2 linked regions of the Nothobranchius furzeri genome follow. The protein of the gene in region 1 purifies or fractionates together with the protein of each later gene. This does not show direct contact. Links are inferred from orthologs where the notes say so. Each region holds a gene or a part of one and is shown in the gene's direction. Other genes may lie near its edges. The genes, in order: rnf139 and insig1.

Region 1 (16,880 bases):
TGCACTTTTTCTTGAGCTTTTTACACTTCAAACCCCCCGTTCAGGTTGTTTATCGCTAACGTTCATTAGCCGGTCACCGGTGTTGTGTCATGTTTTGCGTACCTGCTTGAAACTGGCGGAAAGTTCAAAAATGCCTGAAGGAAAATAGTTTTACTCTAGCTTTATTCAGACGTGTTTTGTAATATTAAAACTTAATGTGGGCGTTGTGAGTATGCATTAGTACAACATTTGTCTTTACGCTCTTTTTTTGGCGTTAGGAGGCAGATTATATAACTTTAGTAGTTTGTGGACTTTTGAACGGTTCATGACTTCTGCAGAGATCAAAGAGCTCTAGGTAAGAGATGCAAGCGATTATATATATATATATATATATATATATATATATATATATATATATATATATATATATAAACAAACTTAGCACCAAGTCAGATTAATCTAAATTGGAATTACAAACCTGCTTCAATGTGAAACTATAGATAATTGAAAAAAGTTTCAACAAGGTTTGACCCCTTTTAGTCACTGAAGTCGTTTTATCAGATTGTTGAATGACGCCATTGTTCTCGAATCTTATTGATTAAAACCAAACATGAAAGGACAAAGTTCAAAGATTAATGTAAGGGGAATCTGAAAGGAGTGGTGATTACATACATTAAATGTGGATATTTAGGTCAGAGTCATTTACTTCAAATGTAAAATCTACATAAAGCCCAATCAATTAAACATTTAACCAAATCAGTAAACTATTCAAACTTCGGCAACAGCACCAGACTGCCTGCAGATGTGCCTGACTTTAAATTGGTTTTACTAAAGAATTACCGTAAATCCTCTAATACAGGCCCGGGTCTGTATTTGACTCAAGCTCATCAAGCTCCAGGCCTTTATTGGAAGGAGGACCAGAATTAGAGGCAGGCCTCAATTTCTATTTGAGCAAAATGAACTAATGGTTCGCTGGAGTTTTTGACAATTAAAATTGCGCCCACATTTTCAAAGTTAAACACATTTCTTTTAACAACGGTAGTTTCTGCTTCAGCCCCCCCCCCCCCTGCACAGCTGCCGCAAACTCACTGATGCGCCTGCAGCCTCTCGGAGTTCCTGCTGCTCTAAACATTAAAATAATTATTTCATTTTCTGTTCCTCACTTCTGATTACCTTCAATGGTGTCTGTTTGTTGCAACCACCAGGTACAAAAACTAACTTGTTTTTATTTGACTATTTTTCTGTCCTGTCTGTTTATTATCTTCCTGCATCTCCTCTCAATCCTAAAGAGAAACTGCTACCTGGGTTCATATATATTCACCTTATGAGTTACCTTTGAACTGCAGTTCTAAAAGATCTACCGACCGCAAAAACAGCGGAGTGCTCGCTGGCCACATCAGTGAGGTGCGTCACCGAGGACAAAACAGGTGATGCGCCCCGATCCACAGCAGCGAAAGGCATCAGGCACAAATAAAAGCATAAAAGACAGAAAACATAAAAGGAAATGAGCCGACATGAACGATCGCGTGTTAAATTAGTTTTTGAGGTGGCGACACCTGATTTGATAATGTTACTGTGGCCGTGCTCAGGACGCAGATGTCTGGAGCGCGTCAACAATCAGAGCTTTGCATGCGCAAGCTGGTTAAGGTTAGGATGGGGGTGAGGGGAAGGTTAAATTGCAAGAGGGTAAAGGTCACAACTTGGTTAAATGTCCATTTTATGGCGGGTGTCAGTACCGACGCTCTGGCACAGCGCGTTGCCTCCCGATGCGCAGGAGCTTGTCACCTGCTGACAGCAGGCTGCTGTCTTTTCCGTGGACTGCATCTTGCCGGTCATTATCACGTGACAGCGACTAGTCGATGACAGGCATAAAAAGTCACTATAGAGCGGTGAAGTCGACTAGTGACTAGTTCATACAACCCCTGCTACTGCTCCCCAGAGTGTTCTGCAGCATAATCAGCACGTTCTCTTTGAACTTGATATCAAATTTTCGCCTCCTCTTCGTCTCCGCATGGTTAAATTTACCCTCGCAGTCTATCACTGGCAAATCAAAAGTGAGACGGATGACACAACCGCCTCCCGTACTTGCTTGTTACCACATTCCACCTGGCCACAATAAAAAACCGGCCATTATTCACCTCCGCTGACACCGGCCAAAATATGATAATTAAATACAGGCTAATATTAGAGGATTTACGGTATATTGGTTGACGACTAAATTTAAATAAAAAATGATAAATTTCAGCCTGAGTCATTGGTCTATTCCTAATTTTAGTTGTTTACTTAAACCAGAATTGACCTAAAACTGTATCAGCTAGCCAGATTCGTACAATGAAAGGAAATCCATGTCAGATCTCCAAATCAGAAAGTTTAACGTGCCACAAAATTTTGGAGCATTGCGTTTGTGCTACTTGTTCATTTGAGAGAATCAGACATTTTCTTGTACCAACCAGTAAATAAACATCTTCTTTTCACAAATACTGATTAATGCCAAATATATGGAGCATAATTTACATTTTTAATCATTTCTAATTGTGTGTTTGCTCTGTTCTGTGCTCCAGGTGTTCTCATCTCCACTGTGGTGCTGCTGCTTTCCCAGAAAGCCCTGTTCAAGTTCTACACCCTCCTGTTGGCCGTGCTCCTCGGCGTGGCGGCAGCCCTCATTAACTACCATGCCGCCTCACACATAGACTTCTACAGCGCGTACTACAAAGCGGCGCTGGGGTTCAGATTGTTGCCTAGAAACGGAATGACGTTGTGGCTTGGCATGGCTGCGGTGCAGCTCTCCTTTGGCATCGGCTACGTGTTCCTGCTCAACCTGCAGTCCGTGTTCGCCGCGCTGGTTGTCCTGGACATCATGATCCCTCTGTGGGGGATGATGATCGAGCTTCCCGCTGATGTCCGGCATCTGGTGGCCGTGTTCTCGGGCCTGGTGCTTGTGCTCAACACAGCCGTTTGCTTGGCCATGAGGCTCAAATGGTTCTACTACTCATGTCGGTATGTCTACCTGCTCGTGCGGCACATGTACAGGATCTATGGACTCCAGCTGCTGCTAGAGGACACGTGGAAGAGAATCCGGTTTCCGGACGTGCTGCGAGTATTCTGGCTGACCAGGATCACCGCTCAGGCACTCATACTGGTCTATGTGGTGCGGGCGGTGAGGAAGGAGAGCGGGGATGCCACAGGAGGCGCAACAGATGTGAGCTTTGATGCACAGGTTAGCTACATATGAGGATTTAAAATGCTTTTTATCTCTTTTTTAAGGTAATTTACACTAAAACTATGTGTTTTAGAGATAATGTCTCATTTTTGTGCGGTTGTTTCATTCTTAGGGCTACCTGTTGAGCTGGGACGTGTTCTGGGACTTGACGAGTAACCTGATCATTTCCGGCTGTGATTCCACGCTGACTGTGCTAGGCATGAGCGCCGTCATCTCCTCTGTGGCACACTACCTCGGCCTCAGCATCCTGGCTTTCATAGGTATTAGACACTTTCTTTTTTATTCACAGAGGTTTGCATATAGACTCTAGGGGTCAAATCTGAGCATTTTGCTTTGACATTTCAGGTTCGACAGAGGAAGAGGATAAGCGTTTGGGTTTTGTGGCTCCTGTTCTGTTCTTCATTCTGGCTCTGCAGACCGGCCTCAGCAGCCTGGATCCAGAGGAACGTTTGGTAAGCCTCTGCAGCTTGTTGCAGCCAACCTGGCTCTCCACCAGACAAGTCAGCGCCACGTAAAGTAAAAAAAACGCATCTTACTCGCAAGTTCGGCTCCACCGGGAGGATTTTGGTCGCGAAGCAGCAATGAAAGAATTTGCCGAAGTTGGTAATGCAAGGTCACGAAACCACAGGAGAATCGCAAGGTCACGCATTATTTTGGCAGTTTGTCTGATAAAAAGCGAGGAGGAAGACAGCCGTGTGTATCCAGAAAGGTCTGTGGTTTATTTTTAGCTCAGCTACGGAGGTTTCACAGGTATTGACACTCTTTTATTTACTAGTTACGCAACAGGAAATGTGCAACTGACTTTTATTTAGAACGTTTCTGGATTTTTTTTAGATTGTGTTCTGGAAACGGCGTGTAAAAAAATAAACTCGGAGTGTAATTTTAGAGGCGTGACACTTCGCGGCCAACGGAAATGCATCGACCCGCTATAACGGCGGCTAATTTCTGCGTATGTTGCGTCCCGTGGAAAGCAGAGGTCCTTCTGATTTGATGTATTTCACGTTAGCTGGGTAAACCTTGTGTCACTTTTATGACATTTGTGACTGAGAGGTCTCTGACCTGCAGGTGCGGCTGAGCCGAAACATGTGCCTTCTGCTGACGGCCATCTTGCACTTTATTCACGGCATGACGGACCCCGTTCTAATGTCTCTCAGCGCCTCCCACGTCTCCTCGTTTCGACGCCACTTCCCCGTCCTGCTGGTGTCTGTGGGGCTCTTTGTTCTCCCCGTGGTCCTCAGCCACGCCCTCTGGCATCACTACGAACTCAACACCTGGCTCTTCGCTGTCACTGCTTTCTGCGTGGAGCTCTGCCTCAAGGTGAGCGTGGAAGTAGATAAATCTTTGTGTGTGCATTTTGTAAATGTATATTTATACCATATTTGTTAAGTGTATATTAAAAAGTGCAAAACCAATGGGAGATGGTAATGAGTAGCACAAGAAACATGCATATTTGCAGATTTGGAAAGTTTTGCAGCTTTTTATGTTTGTGACAATCTTACACTTTCATTAACCAGGGTATCTGCAGGTCCTTAAAAAGTCTTAAAGAGTCTTAAAAAGTCTTAAATTAGCTTTTCCAAATTTAAGGCCTTAAAAATCCTTAAAAATGACTAATAATCCTTAAATACAGTTTTCAAAGGTCTTAAATTACCAGAGACCCAATAAACAAGATTCTTTTGTTTTTCTGAATGTCTAGTTAGTGTTCAGCATTTTTTTGTGTACGATGTTGCCGTGAGTGGAACCGTACACCTTCAGTTGGTTGTGAAAGGGGGCTATTTTTAGATGAGCACATTAGCTGGTTAAGCTAGTGGGAGCATGCGCCATGGGGAAGTGCAAGTTTGATGGTAGCTGGATGGTTAATCCCACGTTCACGACGTGGTTAGCACCAGTTCCAGGCAATAGCTGGAAATTATAGCTTAAATTAAATTTTAAAAATAGCTTAAATTTGGTCAAAGTGGCCTTAAAAAGGTCTTAAAAAGTCTTAAATTTGGCTCCCTTAAACCTGCAGATACCCTGATAACATCAGCTCAATTGCAGCTTTAAGAATTTCTCTCACTCAGCACAACAACTATGTTACACCGAGGTGAGCCTCAAAACCACCTCCTAAAAAGGAAAAGCCCTACTGGTGTCGGCACACGTTGTTATGTTTAGCAAATGTCTTTGTGTAATAAAACTACATTTTGTGGGAAATGTTTAAGAAGCCTACAATAAATGAATCAAATATAAAGAAATGTCAGATATTGAATACTTTATTAACATTTTTGAGTGCTATTGCACTCTGATTCATCAGGAAATCCAAACAACTTTAAGATTGGATTTCCATGGAATTAAAGACAACACAAGTGAAGCCTAAATTTTAACTGTGAAAGGTCCAAAAGATGTGATTAATAAAATATGAATGTTAAAGGCTTTTGCACCATTCCTCATAAATGAAGACCAAATCTAACTAGTGACGGGGTATCCGCGGGTCCTTAAAAAGTCTTAAATTTGCTTTTCCAAATTTAAGGCCTTAAAAATGACTAATAATCCTTAAATAGAGTTTCCGAAGGTCTTAAATTACCAGAGACCCAATAAACAAGATTCTTTTATGTCTATAAAAATTTCGTGAATGTCTAGTTAGTGTTCAGCATTTTTTGTGTGATATTGGCGTGAGCGGAACCGTACACCTTCAGTTGGTTGTGAAAGGGGGCTATTTTTAGATGAGCACATTAGCTGGTTAAGCTAGCGGGAGCTTGCGCCATGGGGAAGTGCAAGTTTAATGGTAGCTGGATGGCTAATCCCATGTTCGTGACGTGGTTGGCACCGGTTCCAGGCAATAGCTGGAAATTATAGCTTAGATTTAATTTAAAAAACTGCTTAAATTTGGTCAAAGTGGCCTTAAAAAAACATCTTAAAAGTCTTAAATTTGGCTCCCTTAAACCTGCAGATACCCTGAATGATAACCGGTCATTTATTCATGCACTGTAAAAATAATAACCTCACTTAAAAAAATTATGCCCCATTTTCACATCCAAACTATTTGAACCAACCTAAAGTATTTACATTTAACCAAATGAACATGACTTTAGGGATAGGCAATACATCAAAAATGTATCGTTTTCGAAATTTCTGACTCTTATCGAGATAATTTTTCCCATGTCAATAAATTTTATAATATAAAAGAAAAGATGTGTGTAGGTTGGCAACATTTATGCCCCTTTAAGAAGCCGTACCACCGTGAGTCATGTAAAAACGTTACTCAGTGTAATACATGCGACAGCCCCATCTAGTGGACAGCTTTTGTTTCTGCGCATACCCGTAGTTACCGTCCATTATCGTTAATGAGGTGAAACCCTCAGTATATCGTCATATTGATTTTAGGCTGTATCACCCAGCCCTACGTGACTTAATATGGTTGTGTTGACACTATTTACATATAATCAAACTATGTTTTCATAGCAGCAACGTTGACCAGTTCCAGCTAACTCGTGCCTCATACAGCTGCAAACTGCATGTGAGAGCGAAACACAACAAGCTGATTCCCGAGGTTTTAGTCCGACCTATCACTTTATACTGAACAGCAGAATTGGCACAGCCACCTCATTCCTCTGACTGACCTCCTCACTTACGGTGCTTCATGTCACTGATAGGACAGCCATCTTGAACAAAACAGTCTTTTTACATTTACGGTCCAATTGATGTGTTGGTCCTACGAGTCTTACGTCCACATTCTAACATAATGCACCGCTGAAAACGTTCAAAATATCCTTCGCATGCCTCTCTTTCTCTTCCTAATCTCTTTCAGCATTAGCTTCAAACGTCTGATCGACATCCCTCCTGATCCAAGAGCACCAGCCCCTGTCCTCAGCTGTGTGACTTGTACCAATTGCAACACATATTGTTGATTGACTCATCAAATAGCAAATGGAATTCTGAAAACCAAGAAATCTCACGTGGATCCTTTGTGATCTGCTTCCACAAACTGATGAATGATTGTGACTGATGGGTCGCTCCATGCCGTGTGCGTAGGGATGGGTACCTTTGACATTTGAATCGATCCGGTACTAATTCCCGGTACCTAGGAATCGACACCGGTACTTAACGGTACCAATTTTAGATACTTTTGAGTGTTTAATATTTTAATTCTCTTTTATAATTAAATATATATTTTTCTCAATTTATAACCATATTTGATAAATATCACGATAAATAACATACAACTGTTTGTATTTTAACATCGTCCTTGTAGTTTTATAAGCTGATAATTAAACTGAAGCAAACATCTTTACTGTGAACTAAATTTACTGTGTATCTTCATTCCTTTTGCCGTCCTTTTTCATTTGATTTTTCCTACTGGGAAGTTAGAATTTCCGAGGAGAAAGCGAACGCACCATTAGCTGATAACAATGGTGGCAATGGAAGCTAACATATCAAGCTAACGTTATCTTAAACGTGGGGCGACGGTGGCACAGGAGTTAAGTGCTCGCCCCGCAATCGGAAGGTTGCAGGTTCGAGCCCCGCTCAGTCTGTCGCTGTCGTTGTGTCCTTGGGCAAGACACTTAACCCACGTCTTCTGCTGGTGGTGGTCGGAGGGACCGGTGGCGCCAGTGCTCGGCAGCCTCGCCTCTGTCAGTGCGCCCCAGGGCAGCTGTGGCTACATTGTAGCTCATCCCCACCAGTGTGTGAATGTGTGTGTGAATGGGTGAATGACTGATTGTGTTGTAAAGTGCCTTGGGGGGTTCCAGGACTCTAGAAGGCGCTATATCGAATACAGGCCATTTAAACAGTTTATTTAGCTGCTGGAGCAGATTAAAACGATGATGCCTCCCACTTAGATCATTGTCGCTGGTTTCATCTTCACCCAATCACCCGTCGCATTTAGTAAAGTGAAGCCAAACTTTAGAGCGCGTTCATGTTCTTCTAGTCGAAATTTCAGAGTTCCGAGGAGAAAGCGAATGCACCATTAGCCAAACGGAAGCTAACAAATCAAGCTAACGTTATCTTAAACATTTTATTTACCTATCGGAGCAGATTAAGATGAGGATGTCTCACTTAGATCGTTGTCGCTGGTTTCATCATCACCCAGTTACCCATCACATTTAGTGAAGTGGACCCAAGCTTTAGCGTGCGTTCTTTCTACGATGCTGCTCTGTTTACAACTGGCTCGCAGTGACCGACGACATAACGCTCTTGTGCATGCGCAGCTGTCTAGGCAAGTTCTCGTTATGATGGACGGGTACCGAAACGAGGCACCGTTTGAAACGACGTGAATCGATGCTCGGTCGGTACCTTAAAAAGTACCGAATTCGGTACCCATCCCTACGTGTGCGTCAGACCCATAAAAAGTCCAAAAATCACCCATCATAAAAGATTTTTCTACATTGCCCAACTTTGGTGCTCATATCCTTTATTTCTGCAGACGTGCCATCGAATCTTAGTGACATCACGATGAGACGAGTGTTCAGCTTCGTGTGGAGGTTCCTGAGTTTGGTTCATTAATGCTTATTAGTTGTGCTCGTCTCTTTGTCCCCCCAGGTGGTGGTGTCCCTGACTGTCTACGGCCTCTTCATGGCTGATGGATTCTCCAACGTCCTGTGGGAAAAACTGGACGACTATGTCTACTACGTTCGCTCCACAGGCAACATCATTGAGTTCCTGTTTGGCGTCATCATGTTCGGCAACGGCGCCTACACGATGATGTTCGAGTCGGGCAGTAAGATCCGCGCCTGCATGATGTGCCTGCACGCGTACTTCAACATCTATCTGCAGGCCAAGAACGGTTGGAAGACCTTCATCAACCGCAGGACCGCGGTCAAGAAGATCAACTCTTTGCCAGAGTTGCGAGGGGACCAGCTGAGGGACATCGAGGACGTGTGCGCCATCTGTTACCAGGAGTTCTCCACCTCAGCTCGCCTCACGCCGTGCCACCATTACTTCCACGCCCTGTGCCTGAGGAAGTGGCTCTACATACAGGACACATGTCCCATGTGTCACCAGAGAGTCTACGTTGAGGACGAGGGTCAAGACAGGGACGCCTTTTCAAACAACAACGGGGGCTACGCAGCGCCGCCAGCTGCTGCGGGCCAACCTGCGGCAGGAGAAAACCAGCACGAACAGCCTGGCGCCGAGCTCATGGCGAATGGGGCGGCAGCCGGGGCGCACGCTGCAGCAGAAGCAGCCGGCCTCGACGAGCTGCTGGGGGACAACGACAGCATAGAGTATGACGAAGACGAGTGGGGGACACAGAACGGCAACACGCCAATAGAAGAAGACTATATCAATGATGACACAGACTCCACTGAGGACTGATTAGAAAATAATACACATATATGTTTATTATATTTAAGTTAAAGAAAAAAATGAAACTTTGAAACAACTCCAGCATCTTAATTTGTTCTTGGAAAAACAGTCAGGGATGTCATTCTCTCGTTTTCTTGAGTTTTACTCTAAAAGGGCTTCTGAGACGAGTAAAAGCTGCTCTCGTTCGGTGTGTGTGTGTGTGTGTGTGTGTGTGTGTGTGTGTGTGTGTGTGTGTGTGTGTGTGTGTGTGTGTGTGTGTGTGTGTGTGTGTGTGTGTGTGTGTGTGTGTGTGTGTGTGTGTGTGTGTGTGTGTGTGTGTGTGTGTGTGTGTCATGATTCTTTTTTAAAGTTTCATCATAACTAGACAAAAGTCCAGATGAAAGTCCTCATACATGGCCACGGCTGTCTCCGAACAAATGTACATTTCCAGATTGACTCAAACTTGATACACAAACCAGATGATCCAAACTGAGTTGGAAGTTGAGGAAGTTTTCCGTTCTCCTCTCTCAGGCCCAACATTAAAACGGTGTGTGTGCATGAGGATGCGTGTTTTTGTGTTTAGTGTCTTAATCATCGCAGTCGTGCTGGACTCAAATTAGTTCCTATTCAAATGAAAGTTATTACACTGGTTTTGAGTTCCTACTTTTATGTTTTTAAAAGATTATTCGTTTAATTAAAGAAGCCGAGGTAACAGTTAGCCAAGAAATTATCGGTCTTCAAGATTTGTTCATGAAACTGAGGTTTACAGTGACATTTTTAGCACTAAAACCATTTTGTGGACTCCAACCTTCACAACTGCATCACCGATCAGCCCTGATTTCTGTCACCTTCCAACTTTTTGATTGATTATGGCTCAGAAGTCAGTATTTGTTCCACTACTGCGTGGGTCTGATTGAAGATTGACTTGCTACTGTAATTGCAGATGTACCTCTCACTACTGGTCTGTTATGGGACCTCACTTATGCTTGTGTACGTTATTGTACATGTAAAGGCACACTTTCTCCTTCAGATTAGACGTGCAATTATATATTTATAAAAGTCTCTCATCCGTTCTCTTAAAAGAAATGATTTAATTAGATATGATGCTTAGAAAAAGCTGCTTTTGGAGATGCTCCAGACGCCACATTGGAGGATTTATTTCCCCTGATGAATAAAATATAAGTGAAAATTTTTTCTCAGTGCGGTTAGTATAAAATGAAGTGAAAAGTGCCAGCTGATGACAACAAAAGTATTATTTGATTTACATGTCAGGTAATTTAAAGAGATGATATTTTTGTTTGCAGATAGTCTCTCATGTTTTTACTTACTGTTACCAAAAAGTTTCTCATGCACCCCAAAAAAATAATGATAAATTCTGGCCTCAAAGAAACTTTTCTAATGCAAACACATTTCTATGATGTGACGTGTTGAAATTTTGAGCTACATGGAGGATTTTGCACACTTTCCCAGAATTACCTGTCCTACTGATCTAAAGTTTCGAGCTGCTGGTACAATAATTTTTTTCTCGGTTTTGACGGAAGAGTGCAGCCCGTCATTAGCATCTAGAATATCTCATTTTGAATTTCTAGATTTTTATTTGAATGTTTGCTGGCTCCACTCTGAATGTTGTTAAACTAACACAGTGGTAACGTTTTCAGGGTTTGACTACCTGCATATTCTCGTTGCTGTTATGATTACTGGTTGTTGGTGATTCGGAGAAAGCATTGGGGGAAAAGCTGTGCTTTTTTTTTTTTTAAATGGCTCAGAGCTATGAAGGATTTTGACTTTGTTTCTCAGAAAGTTGTTTGTTTTAGGGAAAAGCTGTTCCTTTTGCCTTTTTTGTTTGTTTAAAAGAGATTTATGTAAATAAAAGCATATTTGATATTGCATGCTGGCCTTTCTGTAACACCACCAACACTTTAATTACAATCTCAAGCACAAATAATCTAATAATTTATTATAAAATGTATTAAAGAACATAATTTTTATTTGTTAACGAATTTTACTCTTGACCAGCAGATGGAGGTGTTCTGTCATTTTTCTGAAGGACACATTCTTAGTTTGGCCACTTTCCATACTTTGGTCAAACTTTTGAATACAGTAATTGTAATTTACAGTCTACTTGGATAATTATATAGAAAATATATTTCTTAATTAAAAATATTCACAGAAATCAATATTCTTTTATTTTTTTCATGTTTACATATAAATTCTTTAAGGAATCCGATTGTTGTGAATGCTTTATTCCTTAGCAGTATAGATTTCTCACTTTTAATTTTTTATTAATAGTTTTTAATATCAATATTATGGAAGCCCATAACTGCCACTTTTATAAAAAAAAAATGTTATCTCATACGATTCTATTTCATCATTATGAGATAGCCACGTCAGCAATGAGATACAAGAATTTTTGTATCAGTGGCAGGAATGGGCTTCCATTTGTATTAAATTAAAGGGGCATTATGGAAGTTTGACAGCCAAAACATGTATAGAAATAATAAGTTTCTTCTTCATACATTCTCCTGCAATGCCCTGGTCCTGTAGAATGAGCCCTGGCATTTTTACTGTGATTGCCTGTTTTTCTGTAAAATCACAGAAAAAGAGAGATGCTCGGGTCGAGCAGGCTGCTTCACGCACGTTCACGCTCAGGCATAGCCCTCCGAACCGTTCTTTGAACGTTGTTTCAGCTGTCATCAACAATATAAATGTTACAGATACAGAAGATGTCACTGGTGGTTTAGCTCGTCTAATAAGACTGCGGGCTTTCGTGCAGAAGACCCAGGTTTGATTCTGGATGTGAACATAGTTTATTTAGAGATTATTTTTTACATTAATGATATGTTTTTTTACAGTAAGATGCCCACATTTTTATTTGAGACTCGCCGTACGGCATTGAATTCACAGGTAAAAAAGATGTGGGTTCAACTTTCATTTTGGAACAATTTTTCAACCAAGGGAAGGGAATGATCTGAGCATGCAGGAGGACTGACCCATCATAAACCTTTGTCGGCTGTGCTGAAGAGAAAGGTACAGAACCACATTATTTAATTATTTAGCTGTGTGTTCTCCTGTCCTCTGTCCTCTGGGCCACACACACACACACACACACACACACACACACACACACACAAGGGACTGTCTCAGCTGTTATTTTCGTTAAGGAGTGTGCATGTACAGCATGCACGCCTCGTGCACAAGCCTCCTCTTGAAGCTGCTGTTACGCATTTGGCCTGAGGGGGCAATCACGAGCATAAAAATTCAAAATTCCGTAAAGTCCATCGACATATATACAAAGTAAAGTCCCTTTAAAACGTTTGTTTAAAGGTTGATTGTGGAGCACAAACACCATAGCGACATCTAGTATGTGGAGGTTGTAGTTGCACCAATATGGTTTCCAGAAGGCCAAGATTGCTGCACATATGTGAAGTGACCAGCCAGCACCATGTCCAGTGACAAATCATACAGGGTAAGGGCTAATTTCTACTAATAAGTCTATTTTTACTACAGTATTTAATGTTTATTGACCGAAAGAACGAGGTCACGGATACAAGTGGCCGAAATGAGTTTTACTCCACAGGGTGGCTAGGCTCTCTCTTAGAGATAGGGTGAGAAGCTCGGTCATCCGGGAGGGGCTCGGAGTAGACCCGCTGCTGCTCCACGTCGAGAGGAGCCAGTTGTGGTGGCTCGAGCATCTGGTCAGGATGCCTTATGGACGCCTCCCCGGTGAGGTTTTCTGGGCACGTCCAATTGGGAGGACACCCAAGGGAAGACCCAGGACACGCTGGAGGGACTATGTCTCTCGGCTGGCCATGGAACGACTTGGGATTCCCTCGGAAGAGCTGGCCCAAGTAGCTGGGGAGAGAGAAGTCTGGGCGTCTCGGCTTAGGCTGCTGCCCCCACGAACCGACTCTGAATAAGAAGATGGATGGAGTATTTAATGTTAGAACATCTATTGGGCTCCGAATCAGCTGCTTGACTTACTGAATCTGCCATTTTCCAAAGTGCTAGCCTTGATGTGCCAAGCGGACTGTGTACTGTATTTGGCAACCCACACTGGTGCCCTCAATTGGCTGGTAGATGCTAACATAAACTCAATTTCATGCCTGTCAAAATAGGGCTTGTGTCATCATCACCCACGCGGCCGCCCTGTTGGCAGCCTATGGACCCTTGTTGCATTTTACTACTGTGAACAGTGCGCTTAATATCGTTCTTGCTGCTTAACTGAATCTATTATTCATATGATTGGCAATATTACGCAACCATGGTAAATAGTTGCTGTGTTGTGTAGTGCAACACATGATCGCGAGGGAAAACGGGCTAATTTTCCTGCTTGGAGGCTTGCTTGGATCACAGCTGTAAGGTGACCAAACATCACCTTCAGAGTATTTTCATTCTTGTAAGTTACAGATGGTGTACGTCGTTTTTTAAATACATCATTTCTTTCCTTCAACTGCGACACGCACACACAACACACGTAGGCTACACACACATACCGGTAAGCTAATTCGGGCGCACTGACACACAACACAACTTCTCCCGCTTCACTTCTATGGAATGACGATTTTGATTGTTTTACTAGAAAAACCAGCAAATGAAAAGTTTACCTCTCATCCAGACATTTACATCCGCTTGCACCAACAAAATAGCTGAAAATGTCCGTTATGCAGAACTGCGGTGGCAACAAGTTGTCGTCGGTGCTCCAGTCTTGGGTCTTTCATCTGGATCCAAACTTTTTATAGTGCTGATTCTGTTCATAAACTGGTCCCTGACGTATTTATTTAATGTATCCCTGTATATTCTGCATCCTTTTTGGGTTTTTAACATGTTGTTTAACACTTCCTTTCTCCCAATTTGGTTTCTTCTCGGCAACATATGGTTTCGTCTCTGCAACATTGTTTGTTTTCATGGTTTGTTTACACCAGTAAGACCATCAACATGTCTGTGCACATCCCAGAATGCAACACATAATCACGTGTGATTCTGATCCCAATAAAAATTTGATTTTTTATTTAAATGGAAATATAACTTTTAAATGAAATACTGTACCATCCTTCTACACACCTCTAAACGTCCCGTGGGGGTATATATATATATATATATAATGGAGCATTTTATGACATCATATTCAACCTTTAATACGAAAAGCGTGACCGGAAACAGCTAGGTTTATTTTGAAAGATGGGACCGACAGTTTCCGGTTTCTCTCGGCGGACTTGGTTGTTCAGCTGTGTTTGGTTGTAGCTTCAACTTCATGTGCCCAACTCCGGAGCGTCGAGTGTCAGAAGATCATGAGACCGTTTCGGACAGCACGAGAAGATAAGATGTTCGACTGCGTGGAGTTCGAGCCACGTTTTACATAGAGAGGCTTAGAAAGTCGTCAACTCATGCTTCATTGACGTCGAATTATAGTACTAGGACCGACCAGCGACCAACTTTCAGCCCGAGTGCCAGCCTCGTTGGAGCAGAGAGGCGGCGGCGCACCTCCGTTCGAAGGAGACTCAAGTAAACCAGGTTTTACATGTTATAAACGGACTTTATTATTTATTACGGCACGATGCTTAGGGCTTGCCTACAAAGAGCTCTCCGAGCCGGTGCGCAGAAGTTACCGTCGGGACCAAGGGAATCTCCGGTAACAACCCAGAGGCAGCCGGGGACAGGGCGACACGCGCCGGGTTGCTGGATGGGAACACATGCGAGGAACGAGCCCCTGGAGCCGCTAAACTCACCCACAAGGGCCAAAGAGTTTATTTATCGCCTTCACCCGAAGGAGAGGAAATGTTTACTCACGGAGCTGCAGAGTTTCGAGTCCAGAGCCATCGCTCAAGGTAAAAGAAACGAACAAGCACAGGTCAAAGGTGACGGCTCCTAACGAGCCTTGAAGTCGGTGTTCCAACATGCACTGTAAAATGCTCGCTGTATTATTAAACTACCTCAGATATTATATGGTAAGTGTTAAGGATTTAGCTAAAGTATTCATAAAGCCTAATGGCTCCAACTGAAGACAAAGAAGCCTAATTTTATTGTGGGACTCTCATGTACACGTGATTAACCTCATGTGTTTACATTTGGTGGTTGCTGTAGGAACCAAAGCAACATTGGAAAATGGTTTGTCACAATTTAAAATACTCACTGGTGTTTTGCTTCTGAACATAAGTGCAAACGGCGCCTCTTCCAGTTGATAAAAATGTTAAAATTCCAAGTTTTTTTGTTTTTATGCAAGCTGTAAGAAAAAAAAAGCTACAAGTCTCACATGTGATTCATGTACATGTTTAAAATGTCACTTCTGAATAAGTTTAGGGTTTCTAGTCTATTTAGGTTTTTCTTTATGAAGGATTTCAGCCAATCTGCTTCGCATCTTATTTGGAATCCGTGTGCAAATTACACAACATATTGGTGAAAGTAGCTGGTTGTGATCTCTGTGATTGGTTTTGGAACAAGAATGTGTTCATCAGGGTTAGGGGTTAGTGTGTGAGTGTGTACTCGGTCATTATATTTAAAGAGTGGTCAATAGAAATACAGAGAAGGTAGGTGGTTTGAGAGGGGAGTAAAGAAGCCATCCATGTCAAATGGTAGGTATTCCTGCTGTTGCTGGTCTCGGTTCAGTTTGCTGCACCATGTTCAGCCAGGCTCAGCGCCTTGATGTGAGGCTTATTGTGTTCTAACAACGAAATAACTAAGAATAAACACCTCCCAAGAAGTGCTCTTTGTTTACCACTTCATGTTTGAGCACCTTTCTTCTTCTGCGGTTGCCCACTAAACACAGTTTGATAGCAGTGCCCTCTAGTGGCACAAAAAAATTCCAAGCATGGCAGAAGGACTTGAAGCAGTTAACCGGGCAAAACTATTTTACCTGGTTACATTAACAACAATTACCTGGTTAACTATGTAGAGTGATAAATGTTGTTGCTTTTAAGCTTAATATATTACCTTTACTTATGACCAGTAAGCTGTGATAGTCTATATAAATGTAGAATATCAACCTGCTTGGTCTTTGGATGTTTAATCAGAAGATTCTAGGATTCTTTGCTTTTTCAGGGACCTACACACATCGTCTCAATTCAGACAGAGTCAGGTTTGTAAAAGATAAGAAATTTATTTTCTAAATAAATTAAAACAAGACAAGTTAATTAAGATGACTGCGCTGGATGAATCTTAAGAGGATGTGATGTGTGGTGATTTAATGGTGTGTGTTCATCAGAACCTTGTATCTAGAAGAACTGAGTTCTGGGTGAAAATCATTTGGTTTGCATTAAGCTATGAATTTGGTTCTTATCAAAACGGCATCAGACACAATCTGTGTGTCTACCTCACCCTTTCTTTGGAGACCCTCTTCACGGATCAGGAGGTCAGGGAGGTCGGATGACTGCTGGGCACCGAGGTTTGGCAGATTAATCGCAGCACCGACTCTCCAGTCCAGAGATGTTTC
Region 2 (17,321 bases), on another chromosome or scaffold:
AACACATTTGAGAAAAAGCTACAACACTTATTCACCCTTTGGGGAGACACAAATTTGACATCTGATTGTACACCAAGCACTTAACAAAACACACAAAACAATGTTTGGGAAAACAACAATAAACAAGAGTTTCAGAGAATATTAGGGCAACATAAACTACTCTTCAGAAAACACAACACCAAGCTCATAAATCACCTCCCAAAACACACGAAAAACTCAGGAAACATCCCATACTTTGGAAGCCCATTTCCAAAGATAGTATCTCGTTATTATGAAATAGTATCTCATAATATTGAAATAGTATTTCATTATTATGAGATAGTATCTCATTATAGCTCAGTCATAATTACAATATAGTATCTCATTATTATGACTTAGCTAAGTAAAATATATATTTTTTAAATAAATCAACATTTGGGCAAGACAAACAAAAATCAAATTTCAGAATATAACAAAAACAACAAAAAAACTTAAAAATTACATGAAAGTCAATGAAACTTTAAAAAAATAAATTCGATTTGGTACGATTCCCTTAAATTTTTCACTTTAAATGCAGATCACTGAGAATGAAACCCTGTTTTGGTCTACAGCTTACACTTTACGGGATAGTAAGTATTTGTGTTTGAGCAGCTCTGAAACAATTTCAGAGCCGAGTGGCAAAGAACAAAGAGATACCATGATGGAAACCTGGTGCCACACCCTCAGGCTGCAGAAACAGCACTTTTAAGGCGACCTTTGTTCCTCAGAATTCTACTCAGTGCAGGGAGGCAGTGTTGTTGTGGAGAAATAAAGCAAATTTTGCAATAAAATTTCAATTGATGCTGGAAATGACATGAAAATATCATTGATGGCTTAAATTCATTTCAAATGTGTATCTCAGCTCTTTGGACAGGAATAAATGCCATGCTTCATGACACATGATGAAGAGGGAATAAGCAGAAAAAAGCCTAAACCTTTTTCAATTTAATCAACTATCCGTCGAGGGTGGATTAGGATGTTTCCTTTCATAATTTCACACAGGCTTGAGGTGGAGGGGGTTGTCAGGCTTGAGTTTGATGGATCAATTTGCGTACTCTTCCAGCGGGCTTTTCCCTCTTCGTTCCCACAGCAAAAATCCCTCTGAGTCTAACAGCGTCATCTATGACACGCTTGATCTGCTTTTCATTTGAAGTGTCGTCGCTTCCTGTTTTATCTGCTGATGTGGCGAAGACCTCCCCAACATTGATGGTTGCTAAGAGCTGTTTGCGTTATGTTGAGGCATTTTCATGGTTATCCTTGTAAGCTAACCTTCTGATTCTGGCCTGTTTTCCATTAATTTCTGTGAGATAATCTAGATTTATAGTAAATTATTCCAAGATTTCATCTTCCTGTTGACGATAAAGACTGGCGCTCTCGACACCCACACACAGTCACTGCTGTAGGCTTTTATCCTGAGGCCTCTGGATCGTTAAGAACTCATTCATTTTGGGAAACTGAGACTCTACGCTGAGATGAAATTGACATTGTTGAATTGCTTCTGCACTTTCACAACTCTGGTGCACCCTTCTCCATCTCCTTTCCTGACCTCCTTTTTCTTGCCTTTTTAAAAACACGAGAGGCTTTGCTGATTTATCTTTGTAAACCACATGGCTCTCTGAAATTAGAATGGAGTGAATATGACTGATGTCATTATCTATGGACTGCAGCTTTTGTCGTCTCCAGCCTACAGATCAACGATGTTGTGTCCAAGCATCTTTTTGAAAGAAAAAAAATGCCACAAGAAACCTGTTTTGGCTTAAAAATACATTCCTTCTTTCATCATCGTCGTCATCCCGTAAGACATGGTTTATTTATTCGAGCTCTAAGAAATGAAACTGGGGAGACAAACGCTAACTTTTCAGCCCTCAACGTTCTTTCATGCTTTATTTCTTTGCTTAAAAAGTGAAAAAAGCTCTAGTGGAGTGCAGCTGTGACATTTATATTTAACCACCCCGTTATCGCTGCCATTTTAGAGATGACTTTTCTCATTCACTCCAAGTGAAACCAATTTAAAATCGGTCAGTTTGAATGTGCAGTCTGCAGACGTAATACTTTCAAAATGTCCTTCTGTAGCTGCTCCAGTGAGGCTGAAAAGGCTGCTTTATCTTTCAAATTGTGTCATGACATGGTTAGAACTGATCGCAGGAAGCTCCTTTTCGTATGGATTTGCCACCACTTCATTTGCAGGCTTGTCAACAGCAACACTGGTCCCCAGCCTGCTGTTGTAACCTTACAGGAAGTCTGTTTTGTAGCGAGTCGCTTCTTTTTTACATTTTTTATCATCTTCATGTGTCATGGTTTCACTAATTCCTTCATTGGGCAGAGAGACAATTAAAAAGGCATGAGAAAGGCTGCCCTGACAAGGGTTTGATAACACTACCTGGTGGTTGATAATGTTTTTGTGTGTATTAATTTATCTGTAAACGAATGACTACAATGAAACTTTTAGGTAGCGTACACGTAGCCACGTTTTTGTAAAACTGAATATCCTCCTTGGGTCCACACCACCTTATTTTAAGCATTTTTAATCTATTGTGAAGCACATTCATATGCATTCTAATCCTATAGGTGGCAGTAGTTCCCCAAATTGTCAGTGTCTTTGCAGAAAAACCATTGCTTGGATGTGGAATAGCTAGACAATGTCCTTCACCTGTGGTCTTCTACATAGGGGAGTAACTGAGCTTGTAAAAACTAGCAAGTGAAAATAACCCTAACCCTAACCCATTTTTGTCTCGGGCAGTGATGTTGCAAAGCCTAAAACCCTCCTCTTTTTCCACAAGCAAATGCTAACAATAGAGAAGCCACAAATCCCAACCTTGGTCAAAGTTTTTTAAAAGATTCTTTTTAGTGTCATCTATCTTCACTTTTGTGTCAAGTGATAGGCCTTCAATATTATGACATTTTCATTTCCTTTACTGTGTAGATGTTTGGTAAACCTTCTTTAAGTGTTCAAAGTAGAGGTGGGCGAACGTTTACAGACACCATAGAAGTGTGTCTATTACTGACTTAATTTTACCAGTGCAAATATATTACGAATTTAAAAAAAATAATGAAAAGGTGTGTGTAGGTTGCCAATGTTCCTATTATGTAATGGCATCCTAATGATTGTTCACTGGTTGGGAAGCCGATATTTAACTTTGGATCGTTTTTTACTGTTGGCTTCATCAACCAACTCACGTGCACCTCAAAGCCATGGGCGCCCCCAAGGGGTAGTCAGGGGAGGCCATGCCCCCCCCCCAGGAAAAGCCAGTGTTAACAAATAACGTTAATGTTCAGTCAAACAATAAATTGATCTTGTTTATTTAAGACATATTGTAAAACAAAATTAAAATATTACAATTAATGAGTAAAGAAATAATCAGAATTAAATAATTACATATGTTTCTCATGCTCACCATTTTAACTTTTTTTTATCTCTATAGTTTATTTTTTAACACAGCAACAGGTGAATTAACCTACAAAAATATAAATTTTTCATTTAAATTATGGATAACATTTTAAATAACTGAAATGTATTTTTCTGAAATGTTTGTGTTTGTAAAATTTAAGTTAACTGTTTTGGATACGTAGTTATTTTAATTAAAATGAATAAAGGAGCAATGCAGTACATCGCCACAAGCTAAATTCTCCCAGCGTTACCATAAGGACCAATTTGGTGTGCCACCCCAAAGATTTCTTTGGCCCCATCCGGCCACTCCATCAACATTTTCTGGAGGCGCCCCTGCCCAAAACGAGATCTTGAGTTCTGGCCTCGATGTTGTCACTAAGGCAGGATGTACAGTACCATATGTGGACAGCACAGAGCAATGTCACTATACCACGCACAGCTACGCTTCCCTCAAATTTAGTTGCAGTAATTCCATTACTGAAATTGAGAAAAGGAAAAATGTCTAAGGGAGTTTCACATGTGAGCTGCTGACTACCATGGTGGCTGTTGACTGCCAAACTCCACACATGTGTTTGTTTTACCAAAATTGAACCAAGCTGCCAGGGACCAGTGGATTAATTTTATTTTTAACAGTGCTGTTCCCGAAACTCTCCCCACTAGTCTCAGCGTCTATGCTAACTATTTTAAGCCAGAATGCTTTATAAATTTGGGGCAATATCAGGCGAAGATGGCATCAAGGATTTGTCTAGAAAGAGAGGCCATTTCAACACTGAGATACTTGCCTGAAATTCAAACAGTAAGGCTAAGTTAGACTACTGTGTATGCATGCCGGGACGTTGTCCATCACAGGGATGCTATTTTGGAGAGAGATACTGAAGCAAAACCTACAGTGTCAACACCCCTGCTTCCTTCCACCAATCAACATGCCCCTCATTTGCAATATTATAATGTCTGCCCGGCAGATATCGCGCATGCTGTCGCGAGAAAATGGTTCTTTACAAAAAAAGGGTCAGAAAAGCAGTTTTTATTTTTTTTTATACAAATAATTTTAGAGCCTAAAAGACTATGATGTAGATATCTACGGTAGCAACAGGTGATGACTCATTTGAGATGCTGTGCAGCAAACTGAATGAGGTAGAGTCATGAGACTTTGTGTAGTCATGTGAAACTGTCCTAGCTGGTCTAGCAAGAAGCAAATGACAGTGAGGAAAAGTTTGCTGAACCTACAGCCATTTCCCACTGCTTTTCTTTGTGTCTGGTTTGATGACATCAATTTGGTATCGCGCATTTGTAGTCCTGGATAGATTTTCACACAAAGCCTAAAATTACTTTTGCCCCGTTTGAAAATAAGTGCTTTCTTGGGATCAGAATGTACCTTTAAAATTCAGGGACATCATATGTGAAATCCATCGCACATAACAAACAGGATTAGAAAATATTTTTAGCCCCATTGACTTGCATTCATTTTTTCATTCTTCAGGGGATCACTGGTCCGGAAGTAGATGGGCATGACTTAGGCTACCTATATGGAGACATAATATGATTTAAATGTATGTATCCATAACAATTCTTAAGTTTAAGATAAAACAACCCCAATAAATACAAAGTGTAAATTACTTTCACCTGCTACAATTCTTCTGCATTTGAAGCCACTCATATCATGTAGTTATAAGTAAGTCACATGTTCTAAAGTCCATTTAGCAGCTTTACTGTTGTCTGTTTGAATGACTTCTACGACTATTAACAACTAAAACACTAGAGTTATCAAAATATTTTAAAAGTTTTATCATCTAAACAAGATGCTAACCCTAAACTACCAGTATAGCTAGTTCATAAAACCATAAATGATCCACACTAATATGCATGGTGGGTGCCTTTTTAAGTTTTTTAATTTCGCTAAATTCTTTGCAGAGTTTCCCAATCCCCTATTTACAGGCAGTCATTGTGCAACCTGTTAGTGGAGCACTTTTTCTCTCCAATCATGCACTGATGACACAAGGATCTGAAGCTACGTGGGGCTCTGTGTTTAGTCCAAGTACACTTCAACATTGGGTGATAGCCAAAAACCAGTTCTAACAACCATAATGCTAAACTCAATCTCAGCTCTGCATCTTTGTATAATGAAGTAATAAATGCAACAATATGGGATTTCAGCAGCTCAGTTTGATAATCCCCAAAACAGATTTTTTTCCCCAGCTATCTGAATTTGTTTACTAAATTTGCTGCAGGTCATGCATTTAACCTGTGAATCAGTTTGAATGAAGTCAGTCATCCATGTCATTGGTGCTCATGGTTTTGCAGGAAATATGACATATCTGTTAAACCCTCCCGCTGTCCTAATGGGTGTGACCCCGCGAGGAAAGTTGACCATTGAGCAGGGTTGATGGTTTATCCCTTGGGTCCATGTGGCAGGGGTGAGGTGTGAGCACCACCTCACCCCTGCTATGTGGACCTAATGGGATAAACCATCAATCCTGCTCAATGGTCAACTTTTCTTGCGGGGTCACCCATAAAGACAGTGGGAGGGTTAAATAACATTTTCATCAGCAAATTAGCTTTTTATTTCCAGTTTATTTCTTTGTGGATACAAATGTATTCAACACATGCATGCAGTATCTGTTATTGTGCTCTCCAGATTATGTTACCTAATCTAACCCATGTTGTTATTGGTCCTTGAAAAATGAATACTGACCTTTTATCCAGTTATATGTTGTCTGACTGATATGCAGGAGCGCCACAACTTGCCCCAAGAGACACACCTCCAGTAGACTGACCCAGAGGTCAATAACCTGTTACCAACATCAGAAAAACAAACGCATGTGCTACTAACCCCGTTTTCGACGCATGTCTATATAAGAGCTCCTGTGATGAGAGATTAGTTGAGTTGGAAGATGCTACAGATTTATTGAGAAAAGAAGACACTCACAGTCTCCATCTTAGAGGAATCCTGTTCTGACTGGTAAAAGACAAACTATTTTCATTTTGAAAAGTCATCGTTGTTATTAAAACTGCTTTTGATAACCGGTACAAGCACTTTAGAGATGTTGTTACGAATTTTTTACCCATAAAAGAAAAAACGGAAAAACTCTCTAAAGCCTCTGTTAGACTTTCTAGAGTTTGGGTCACAAAGCTTTAAGGCTGGGGTCTTAAAATGTTTTCCTGAATTCTAACATGACTTTAAAATTTTTTATTCCTGTAATATTTTATTGTAAATGGTATAAAGGTAAAACTAAAATTTATAATCTGAGTTTAACATGGGGTTAGGAGTGTGTATTGACAAAAATACGGCAAAACAATATATTTCACAATACAGGGGTGACAATATTTGCAATTTTTAGGACTGAAGTTCATTGAAAAATTCAGGCGAGATGCTTCCAAGACACATCTGGTGTTACTGCGAGATGTCACTGTTCCGTCATAAAGGCAGTAAAAAAACAGATGACTAGCAGTCAGAGATTTTTTTACCACACAAAAGAAATACAGTAAATGTTTGTACATAAATTCTCAATTAAAATCAATATATTGTTTTTAACTATCAATCCAGCATACAAAATGTAGCAATGTTCAAGTTTATTGATTTTTTGTGTGTCCCTAATATATATATATATATATATATATATATATATATATATATATATATATATATATATATATATATATATATATTCCTAGTACATTGTCTTTGTAAATTTTCATTATGCCCTTGCTTTTAGTAAAGTATGTATAGTTCAATAAGATATATTGTAAGTCTTAATATCTGTCATTTTTTTTATCTGAAGGTAAAAAATGTGGGAACCATTGGTCTACATTACACCATAACGTCATGCATGGATGGACCACCATCACTATAGCCAGCTTTATTTCTTAGCTCTATGACCAGTAGAGTTTTTCTTTTTCCTGTTGTTGGTTTTCAAAACTTTTATTGGTCTGACTGACAGGACATTAAGATCAAACAACCTAAGATGTCCCTAGGGTGAAGAGTAGTAGGTGATCACGCCTTTGCAGCTGCCACCCCACAGTGTAAAACATTAGCCTGGGCTGAAAATTCAATGGGTTCCAATCCAATATGGGTGTTGGAGTGAATGCAAAACTCATGTGATAATTTGAGAAAACTATATGTAATATGGAAAACCTCCAGCACTGGCATTTGACTAGAATAAAACCTGAAAATTTGATTCTATTCATTGTACTTTTGTAAGACGTTTAAATGTTATCAGGTTTTAGTCTGTTCTGATCAGATGTAATCTACTTTTTGCCATATACTTTGCAAAACTGATTTTGTAGATTATGAATTAACGTTCATGATCAATGTTAATGTTTGACTGTGTCCCTTTAAATGTGTCCTCATATATTTAATCACCCCATTTTAAATGTTATGTAAAACCAGAGTTACATGTTTCCCGCTATTTAAAGTATTTCTACTTTCGTTTCAGCCCTGCAGCCTCCTGATCAGTCTGTCTGAACCGGACGACGGGGCGGGGCGTTGGTGTCACGTCATATCAGCTGCCGCGCTCTGATTGGCTGCCGCCTCTCACCAGACACAGCTGAGATTGTTTTCTGCAGTGGAAGTCCTGGTTCTTTTTGGGGTACGAGCTCTTTTAGCTGTAGAATGAAGCAACGCTGTGTGTTTACTAAATATGATGTGAACAAACGACGTGACGGCTGTCCTTGTCGGAAACAGCAGGAAAGCAAAACGGGGATCGTGGCTTAACTCGAATGAGCTGGAGTGCAGGTTTCGTTTTGGACCAGACACTTAATTCATCTGGAGATCAACAAGGTAAGGACCAAGAATCGCGTCATCCTTGCCTCAACGTGTCTTTTTTATGTGAGATAATTGAATGAATCTGCTTTCAAACAGCTCAGAAGTGCCAAATGCCCAGACTGGAGGACCACTACTGGAGCTGCCCTTGTTCACCAAAAGCTAAAACTAAAGATTCATTTGGCGCCAGCTGGTTCGCATCTAAAGCTGAAGAAATGATGTCCATCACCACCAAGGTGCTCAGCACTGCCTACGGCTCCCTCCACCACGGCAGGACCACCAACCTGATCCGAAGGGGTCTCGTCCTCTTCACGGTTGGGGTCTTCCTCGCCCTGGTGCTCAACTTGCTGCAGATACAAAGAAATGTCACCCTTTTTCCAGAGGAGGTGATGACAACTTTGTTTTCGTCTGCCTGGTGGATCCCGCCATGCTGCGGTACAGGAGCAGGTAAGTGGACCATAAACGGAGGTGAACTTCATAACTGTATTAGTTTACAGCTAATTTGGGGACAAAGACAAGCAAAGAGGGGAGGGGTTACCGTGGAGCATTATTTATTTAATTTAAAAATGCTAACGAGGAGGATACATTTAATTTATAATTCATTTGTAGGCATTAAGAGTCTGGAAAATCATATTTTATTCTTATTTGCACTTGCACGCTAAAGTAAGCACCCATTTATGTCATTTAATAAATCAAACGCGGCTTTATAACAACACATTTTGAAAATCTTCTAATTTGTCGTTTTCTATCGTGTCCTACTGCGATACGTTGTCATTCGGCTTTACTATGTTGTTGTTGTAACGCTGTTGTTGTTGTAACGCTGTTTTTCTTCCGTCGGGGAAGACTTTTTATGGTTGAGTGGCAGTCTAGTATCAAAAGACACGACTAGTTGCAGACGGTAGAGCTTCTTGGCTTCTGATTGGTCAGAGTCTACGTGAGCTGTTCGCTCATTAGCTGGTGTCATAACGGGTGAGATAAGGGCCGCCCCCTTTAAGGCCAGGAACCCGGAAATGAGAGGAGGTAGAAAAAACGCGTTTTGCTCCTCCTTCCATGTGCTGCTGAGCAGAAAACTTTTAGCTTTTTGTCTTTCAGCATGTTTAATTTACTCCAGCTTGTTAAACTTTAGTTTAATTAAATAGCTGTTTTCCACTTCATTTTTGTGCACAACAAACAGATTAGGTTAGTCCTGGTACTTTTAAATCACCAGTCAAGCATGATCATTGGTTAAATTGTGTCTGTTCAGTTATGCCAAAAATTGGAAAAAATCAGAACTTCCCTCGCTAGATATTTCAGACCAGTTACATTTTTAGGTTTTAAAGGCATTTATAAAGAAATTACCACATTATTTCCTGGCAGATTTAAAATGTTTCACCAGTCTTGACTTTTAATCCGTTAAAAAAAGTGAAACAAAATGACTGTGTCTAATTTTCACTGTAGAAGTTATAGCTAATTATTGTAACACTAGGTTTAATGAAGAGCTGTGATTTAGAATACAATTTGTCCTCATTTAAAGTTACCTTAGTTTTTGTTAAATGCCCAAAGTACTTTTTTAAAATTTAAATATAAAAAGGACATCATTTCTAGAGGCTGGACAACGTCTTTGACTTAAACATATTTTTTGGTCTTTGGTATTTTTTTAAATTATTACAGCTATTTTAAAAAAAGGTTGACTACAAGTATTTTATTTTGCTGTGAAAGTCTGTATTAGTTTCTTTTTTTTCATTTAAATGTGGTAAAGTAATAAAAAGTCACAATCAAAAAATGTATCTGTATTCCACTTCATCAAATACACAATCAAACAAAAAAAATTCAATAAATAATAGAACATTTCTTTGCTTTTTTCTTTAAACACTTAATGATATCTATGTGAATGGATGTGTCACAAAGTAAAACAACACTTGGTCAGCATATAACCAGCTCTGACAGGATGTGTCCTGTTTAGTTCAGAGAATTTGTGCTTATCTTGCATAATTCCTGACTTTTTGTTCCATTTTTTTCTATTTCCAGCTGTTGTTGGCCTGCTCTATCCCTGCCTCGACAGCCATTTGGGGGAACCGCACAAGTTCAAGAGGGAGTGGGCAAGCGTCATGAGATGCATTGCAGTGTTTGTTGGCATCAACCATGCTAGTGTTGTATCCTTTTGTGATGTTTTCCCTAAGTAATCCTTATTTTAATGCTAGTTTTTTGTCCCAGAAAATTGGAGAAAAGTGGAAAAATATTCCACCTCCTGTTTGGATGAGAGTAACACAATAACTTTTGACACTAATGGTTGAACTTGAAACCAGGCGGTCGAAACAATATTTGAACAAAAGCACATCATCATCATCTTGTTTAACTTTGCCCTTAACCCACAGTAACACAGAAACTAGACTTTGCCAACAACGTGCAGCTGTCCCTCACACTGGCGGCCTTGTCTTTGGGCCTCTGGTGGACATTTGACCGCTCCAGAAGTGGGTTTGGTCTGGGCATCACCACGGCCTTCTTAGCTACCATCATCTCACAGCTGCTGGTCTACAATGGAGTTTTTCAGTAAGGTCTTTGCTTAATTATGCAGAACCAGAAATGTCTTCATTTGGAGAAGTAAAGTAAAAAGCTTTTCTTTTTTTGTTCTATTTTCAGGTACACATCTCCAGACTTTTTGTACGTGCGTTCCTGGCTCCCGTGTATTTTCTTCTCAGGCGGCGTTACTGTGGGAAACATCGGACGCCAACTTGCCATGGTAACATTTTCTGCCATTTTTTAACTGCTTCCCAGTGATGTATAAAAATGTTGCTGCACTGAAATATCGCAATATTTTATTATTCTGAATCAATATTCAAAGGCAGTATCAATTTTATTGAGTATTTAAATGCAAGTATTTATTGTATATGTGTTGCTATTCAAACTTCAACTGCTAGGGGGCAGGATTTTTTACTGCCTTCATCATATACATAGACACTCTGTGGATTAGCGCTGCCTATTGGTGCTGGTGTAGCAGCGGGCTGCCATCTTGGATGAATCTCTATTCTTTCGCCCCCAATGGCATTTTTTTACCGAGGAAGACGTTTACCCAACTAAATCACACATTTTATTATCCTTTTTCACAAAGACACACATATGGTATGGCATCATAGTTAAAATATAAATATAATAAAATAAAATAAATTGTCTCAGGCAGCTAGTTGGGATGCCTCCTGGACGCCTCCCTAGTGAGGTTTTCCGGGCACGTCCAACTGGGCGAAGACCTAAAGGAAGACCCAGGACACGATGGAGGGAATATGTCTCTTGGCTGGCCAGGAAACTCCTTGAGATTCCCCCGCAGGAGCTGGCCCAAGCGCATGGGGAAAGGGAAGTCTGGGCCTCTCGACTTAGGCTACTGCCCCTGCGACCTGACCCTGGATAATCGGCCAAAAATGGATGGATGGATAGAAAATAAATTCAAATGTAAAATCCCAACGGGTAGCCAGAAAAGTCAGTAGAAATCCCAGATGATCTCTTTTCAATAATGCGCCTGTTGCTGCAACAGTAGGCTGCACAAAAGACAGGCATATTTGCTCAACCTGTATTGACTCCAGTTGGGTTTGGAGAGTGAGAAATCCACCTAATATAGCGACGCTCTCCAGCCCCCACTGAGGTATTTATATATTCAAGTTTATGGCAGTGGCGTGGCCAGATCTTTTAAAATGGGGTGGCCCAGGTAAGTGGCACCAATGGTTATGCTTTTTCTTTTTTACCCCAAGCTTTTTGTGGACAAGTCTCCATCCATCCATTTTCATCCGCTTATCCGGAGTCGGGTCGCAGGGGCAGTAGCCTAAGGCGAGAGGCCCAGACTTCCCTCTCCCCAACCACTTGGGCCAGCTCCTCTGGGGGAATCCCAAGGCGTTCCCTGGCCAGGTGAGAGGCATAGTCCCTCTGCCGTGTCCTGGGTCTACCTTCAGGTCTCCTCCCAGTTAGATGTGCCTGGAAAACCTCACCAGGGAGGCGTCCAGGAGGCATCCTGACCAGATGCCCGAGCCACCTCAACTGGCTCCTCTCAATGTGGAGAAGCAGCGGGTCTACTCCGAGCCCCCCGGATGACCGAGCTTCTCACCCTATCTCTAAGGGAGAGCCCAGCCACTCTTCTGAGAATACTCATTTTGGTCGCTTGTATCCGCGATCTCGTTCTTTCGGTCACTACCCAAAGCTCATAACCATAGGTGAGGGCAGGAACATAGATCGACCGGTAAATCGAGAGCTTCGCCTTCTGGCTCAGCTCTCTTCACCACGACAGACCGGTACAACGCCCGCATCACTGCAGATGCAGCACCAATCCGCCTATCGATCTCACGCTCCAGTTTTCCCTCACTCGTGAACAAGACCCCGAGATACTCCTCCACTTGGGGCAGGACCTCACCCCTGACCCGGAGAAGGCATTCTACCCTTTTCCGAATCAAGGACAAGGTGGACAAGTCTGTTTAAAGGAAATTCAGTGGGGTGGCCAATCAGATTCCAAGGTTGGCATGTGCTACCCCAGGCCACCCCCTGGACACGCTCCTGGTTTATGGCAAAATACTGGAGTGTCTTGGAAGTGCCTGACCTGAGTTCCCCAATTAAACTCGGTCCTAAAAATCACAAACGTTGTTTGGCTTTTAGTTTCGAGATAAACTGGATCGTCTCACCTGTCATTGTGATCTATATCGTATTGCAAGATTCTTGCCAATTTTTATTTTACAAAGCCTTTATTAACATTTACAAGGCAATACATAACAATGCAACAACCACCAGGAGGCTACAAACCAGATTATTGCCAGTACACCCTTACTGCTTCCTATAAGGTCAGATTTAAAATGGGACCCTCCTCTTCCTGCCTTAGCAACAATGCCATCCACCTTCAGAAAAGACAGCTTAATACCGACCAATCCGAGGCCGCATATGTCACCATTTGCAGATCTGCCAGATCTTTGGTTTTAACAGAACAGCTCTCCGTTCTCTTGATCTCAGTCCAGCACCTTTTCCCCATCTGCCAAGTCAAAATTCCAGAGTAAACACTGAATCTCTGTGATACTTTGGAAAGTTTTCCCCCAGACATCTTTGCTGAAAAGACCCCTCAGCGTTTATCTCTATGAGTTTCTGCGTTCCTCGACAACAAATAATGACTTCAAACGCCTCCTGTTCATCACACTTGCTTTATTAATAATTATCCAGCTGAGCCGCCACAGCAGATAAGATTGTGGAATGGTTTACATGTGAGCAAAGAGCATTTTCTCTTCCTTCATAATTATCCCATGAAGTGGGCTTTGATGTCTTTATTGAGCGTCTGTCTGGAAGCCCCACCTCATTCCGCCTGTGAAGTACGAGTTCTCGGTTTGACTGAGGGAAAGCGTGAAAGCAGATTAGGAGCTGTTGTTTTTCACAGTCGTGGCGAGACTCCGAGCCAGTCCAGACTCTGCTGACCAGAGGGTCATTAGCTACTTGTTTTTGTTTTGTTTTGTTTTTTGTGAAGAGGCCCAAGGAATGTTGGCACAAGTTTGAACTCGAAGCTTTCTTTAGATTTTATCCCCCCTTTTTGCTCCATTTGATCGTGTTTAGAAGTATCGGAGAGAAAATCCGCTTGTATTTTTAGTTTTCCAGTGTACCTGGTTCTTTACTGTTACACTAAAACAGCTTTATTAGAACTTAATAGAACCATTTAGAAGCAGGATAATTGACAAAAACTTTTTAAAATATTAATATTTTAACTGTTTCAATGGAGGAACATAATCTCGTCAAAGGAAAAATTTTTACCTGTGTCACCACCGTAGAGGTTCTGGGAAATTTCTGGCAAAGGAAAGCGATGGGGACAAAACGATGGCTCCGTCCTTTCAGCTGTTTCTCCTCAAAAAATCGTTTCTTTCAGGATTTTGCCAAAACGTCTGAATATTGCAAAAGTTTCAGCCGTGGGTGACGTCACAGATCAGCTCCAAAAGGCATCCACGGACATTATTGACATTAAATGTTTTATTCGATCAAAGTATGCCGTTATTTAATTCATTCGGGGATGTGAAGAGCAGCTTTGTTGTGTAAAAAGTGGCGTTCAATGATCAGGTTTTACGGCGCTCTATAGAAGATCACAAAGCTGCAAGAATTCTGGCTTTTCTGACTATGTTAAAACGGCGCCAACGCCGGATGAACTGGTGACACGGGCATGCCATTAAGGTCTGGTAAAATTAGTTCCGACAGTGAAAATGGGCCTGTTGACATTAAATATTCAAATGTAAGCAATAGACCCAAAGATGTGATTTCTGATGCTGGATGTGTTTGTTTCTCCTCAGGGTGGGTGTGAGAAACCCCACATGGACTGAACTCTAGCAGAAAGACGTACAACGAGGTAAAAAACGGATGAAAATAGAGACGGTTTGGTTTTCGGAGAGAGGGGTATGATGACCTGAGAAAAGAAGAGACTCATAGTTTCGACTACATCCTTTTGGATCCTCAAAGTCCATCGTCTAACGTGCCATGTCCTCTGAACCTGTTTGTGGCCAAACAACTCCTCATTTATCTCTGTCGGCATTAAGACTTCCTTCACACGAGACAAGAAGACGGGGTTCGCCTTTTCTTTGAGTGTTTTGATTTTCAGTGACTGTTTTTGGTCTTGGCTGGAAGATGTGATGAGACTGATGTATTTAAATTTTTCTCTTGTTAGACTTAGAATCATAAAAGGGAAATGTCTGCTGGTACAAAAAACCTCATCACTCTTACGTGGAGTCGTATTTAGTGGCATCACCGGGGAGTGCTACGTTCCCATTTAAACCAAAACAAAGTATTTTTTGTAAGTTTTCATAAACCTAAAGCATGTGTGTGTGTGTGTGTGTGTAAACATTTTGAGAATTATGTTGCTTTCTTTAAATTATCCTTTTTTATATATAAATTTAAAATGAGGTGGACAATAATTAAACAAAAAGTGACAGTACTGTAAAAATTCTGAACATTTCTAGGTACTTTGTAGGTATAGATATTTTTTTAAGTCAAAAGATTATTTCAGTGAATATATTTAGACTTAAAAATCTCCTTTTTTTTTAAAAAAAATTCTAGCTATTTTTAAGATCAATACAAAAACACACAAAAGTGCTGTAGTTTCCCGTTCTGTAACAAAGTTGAAACTGAATTTCATTTGAGCCCTCGTCGGTCGACTGTGAGTAAATACTGATGCTATATTGCTGGTTTCTTGCATCAGACCATATATGCTCACAGAAGTTGGCCCCCGAGGAGAGCAACCTGCAGCTGGGCCCCTCTTAAAGTTCTTAATGCAGAACGGCAGCTTTAACTGCGATTTGGCTCAGCTGCAGATGATAAAACTGGCCTTTTTTGGAGGGTTTAAAAAGCAGAAGTAACACATTGTTGGCTGAGTAGCTGCATAATCAGGGATTTTGGGGGGGGGAAGAAAGCAAATTGTTTCTCAAAATGTTTCTGTAGATTTTGATAAGTGGAGTAAAGTAAAAATGGGGTGGCTGTAAAAAAAATAAATAAATAAAACAAAGCACACTGCATCAATTACAACAGAAAAATCTGTATTTACCAACAGGTCAAGTATCGTATTTAGTTCCAGAGCGAGACAAGTGATTACTCCATTAGATTTGTCTCTTTTAATTCCAGATAAGAAAAAAAGACCAATTTTTTTTGGAAGAAATAAAAACTTGGTTCAGGTGCGGTGCTATTATGCAGCATTAGCTGGGGCTGAAATGTCCATTAAATGTAAACGTGCAGAGATTTATTTAAAGCCACTAAGGTGCAAAGAATGTACCACAAGTATCCATTTTTCATTGATCTGATCTAAATGTCGTCGACCCCTTTGATTTCCAATCATTTTACACACAGTAAAGTATTCAGGAGGGTAGGGCATATTACGTCAAGATTTGCAATCTGTGATTGCCTGTTTTATAGAATTTAGTGCTTTTGTCACTAGTTTTTTCTCATGTGTATGATGTCATGGATGCTCAAATGTAAAATAGCTTTCTGCAATCGGACCGCTGTTCTTTACCACACTAAGACCTGCAGCATGTTTGTGTTTAAGGGGGTCTTAAAGATCAAGTGCAATCAAATTATACATCTCCTGATTCTCCTTTTTTATTTATTATTTCTGACAAAGACTAAAAAAAAGTTTGTAAATGCAGTGTGAGTTGTTAAATCACGCTATTTTGTTTTTGTGAACCCGATTCAGTCAGATTACATTATTGGAGTCAACAGCAATGACCCTCAGAGAAAGTCTCATTTCGTAGCATTGTTAGAGGAAACCTGATTTATTTTTTTAAAAACTTCATCTGCTTTCATTCAGGTATGCTGACAAAAGAGGAAACTTTATTTATTTTACGCTTTTTGTTGTTTTGTCTTTCTGAGGTGGTGAAGCACCTTTTGTTGTATTAGTTTTCAGTCTGAGCTGTGTATGATTTTTGCTACCTTGAATTTAAGTGAAAAATAAATAAAAAACACTAGACATGAATTTCTGTGTTTATAGTTGACTTGGATACTTAAAACATGGAAACGTGTTTAATATAGAAATCTGAGTTAGTCTTAAAAACTAATCAAAGCATCTTGCTGCTTTGCTGATTTCTTAGCATGTCATGCAAACGTTTTACAAACAACGGGTAAAAAATATTTGAAAATGTTCTATTTTTTTGGTTCCTTGGAGAAGAAGAATTTGTCCTTTAATCACAAATTGTTACCAGAAAAGTTACTTTTTTACCACGTGTTCACATCCTAATCAGATGCCCGAATCACCTCAACTGGCTCCTCTCGATGTGGAGGAGCAGCAGGTCTACTCCAAGCCCCTCCCAGATGACTGAGGGAGAGCCCAGACACCCTGTGGAGAAAACTCATTTCGGCCGCTTGTACCTGAGATCTCATTCTTTCGGTCACTACCCAAAGCTCATGACCATAGGTGAGGGTAGGAACATAGATCGACCGGTAAATCGAGAGCTTCGCCTTCTGAATATAATGTAAATATATATATTAATCAAAATTGTGCCAGGAGGTCCTCAAAGCTGCCATAGCTAAAGAGTTGTGTGAAAATGTACCCATCTTGTTGGTTCAGTAAAGATGGCTGATTTCACCCTTGACTCACCACTGGACGTGCCCTTCTGCTCAGTATTTACTACAAAGCCGGTCACTTTTTCATTGGGCTGCTCTCCCAGAAGCTTTAACCGGTTGATGAATTCCATCCCA

Evidence for each region.
Region 2: the proteins of rnf139 (region 1) and insig1 purify together in Homo sapiens (affinity purification with western blotting, with the first as the bait; 3 studies listed by BioGRID). This does not show direct contact. The link is inferred for Nothobranchius furzeri from reciprocal best matches to the Homo sapiens genes RNF139 and INSIG1.

Annotation. Positions count from the first base shown.
Region 1 is NC_091759.1:12,629,951-12,646,830, reverse strand, and holds the end of rnf139 (E3 ubiquitin-protein ligase RNF139), read left to right. Parts: intron 1-2,540; coding exon 2,541-3,196; intron 3,197-3,311; coding exon 3,312-3,459; intron 3,460-3,544; coding exon 3,545-3,651; intron 3,652-4,264; coding exon 4,265-4,516; intron 4,517-8,710; coding exon 8,711-9,484; 3' UTR 9,485-11,341; downstream 11,342-16,880. Other genes in the region: tmem65 (transmembrane protein 65), read left to right, coding at 15,009-15,279. UniProt on the Homo sapiens protein: E3-ubiquitin ligase; acts as a negative regulator of cell proliferation through mechanisms involving G2/M arrest and cell death.
Region 2 is NC_091747.1:47,845,975-47,863,295, reverse strand, and holds insig1 (insulin-induced gene 1 protein), read left to right. Parts: upstream 1-6,250; 5' UTR 6,251-6,365; intron 6,366-7,839; 5' UTR 7,840-7,992; intron 7,993-8,087; exon of another isoform or gene 8,088-8,090; 5' UTR 8,091-8,122; coding exon 8,123-8,183; intron 8,184-8,264; coding exon 8,265-8,612; intron 8,613-10,172; coding exon 10,173-10,297; intron 10,298-10,527; coding exon 10,528-10,694; intron 10,695-10,784; coding exon 10,785-10,884; intron 10,885-14,434; coding exon 14,435-14,464; 3' UTR 14,465-16,599; downstream 16,600-17,321. UniProt on the Homo sapiens protein: Oxysterol-binding protein that mediates feedback control of cholesterol synthesis by controlling both endoplasmic reticulum to Golgi transport of SCAP and degradation of HMGCR.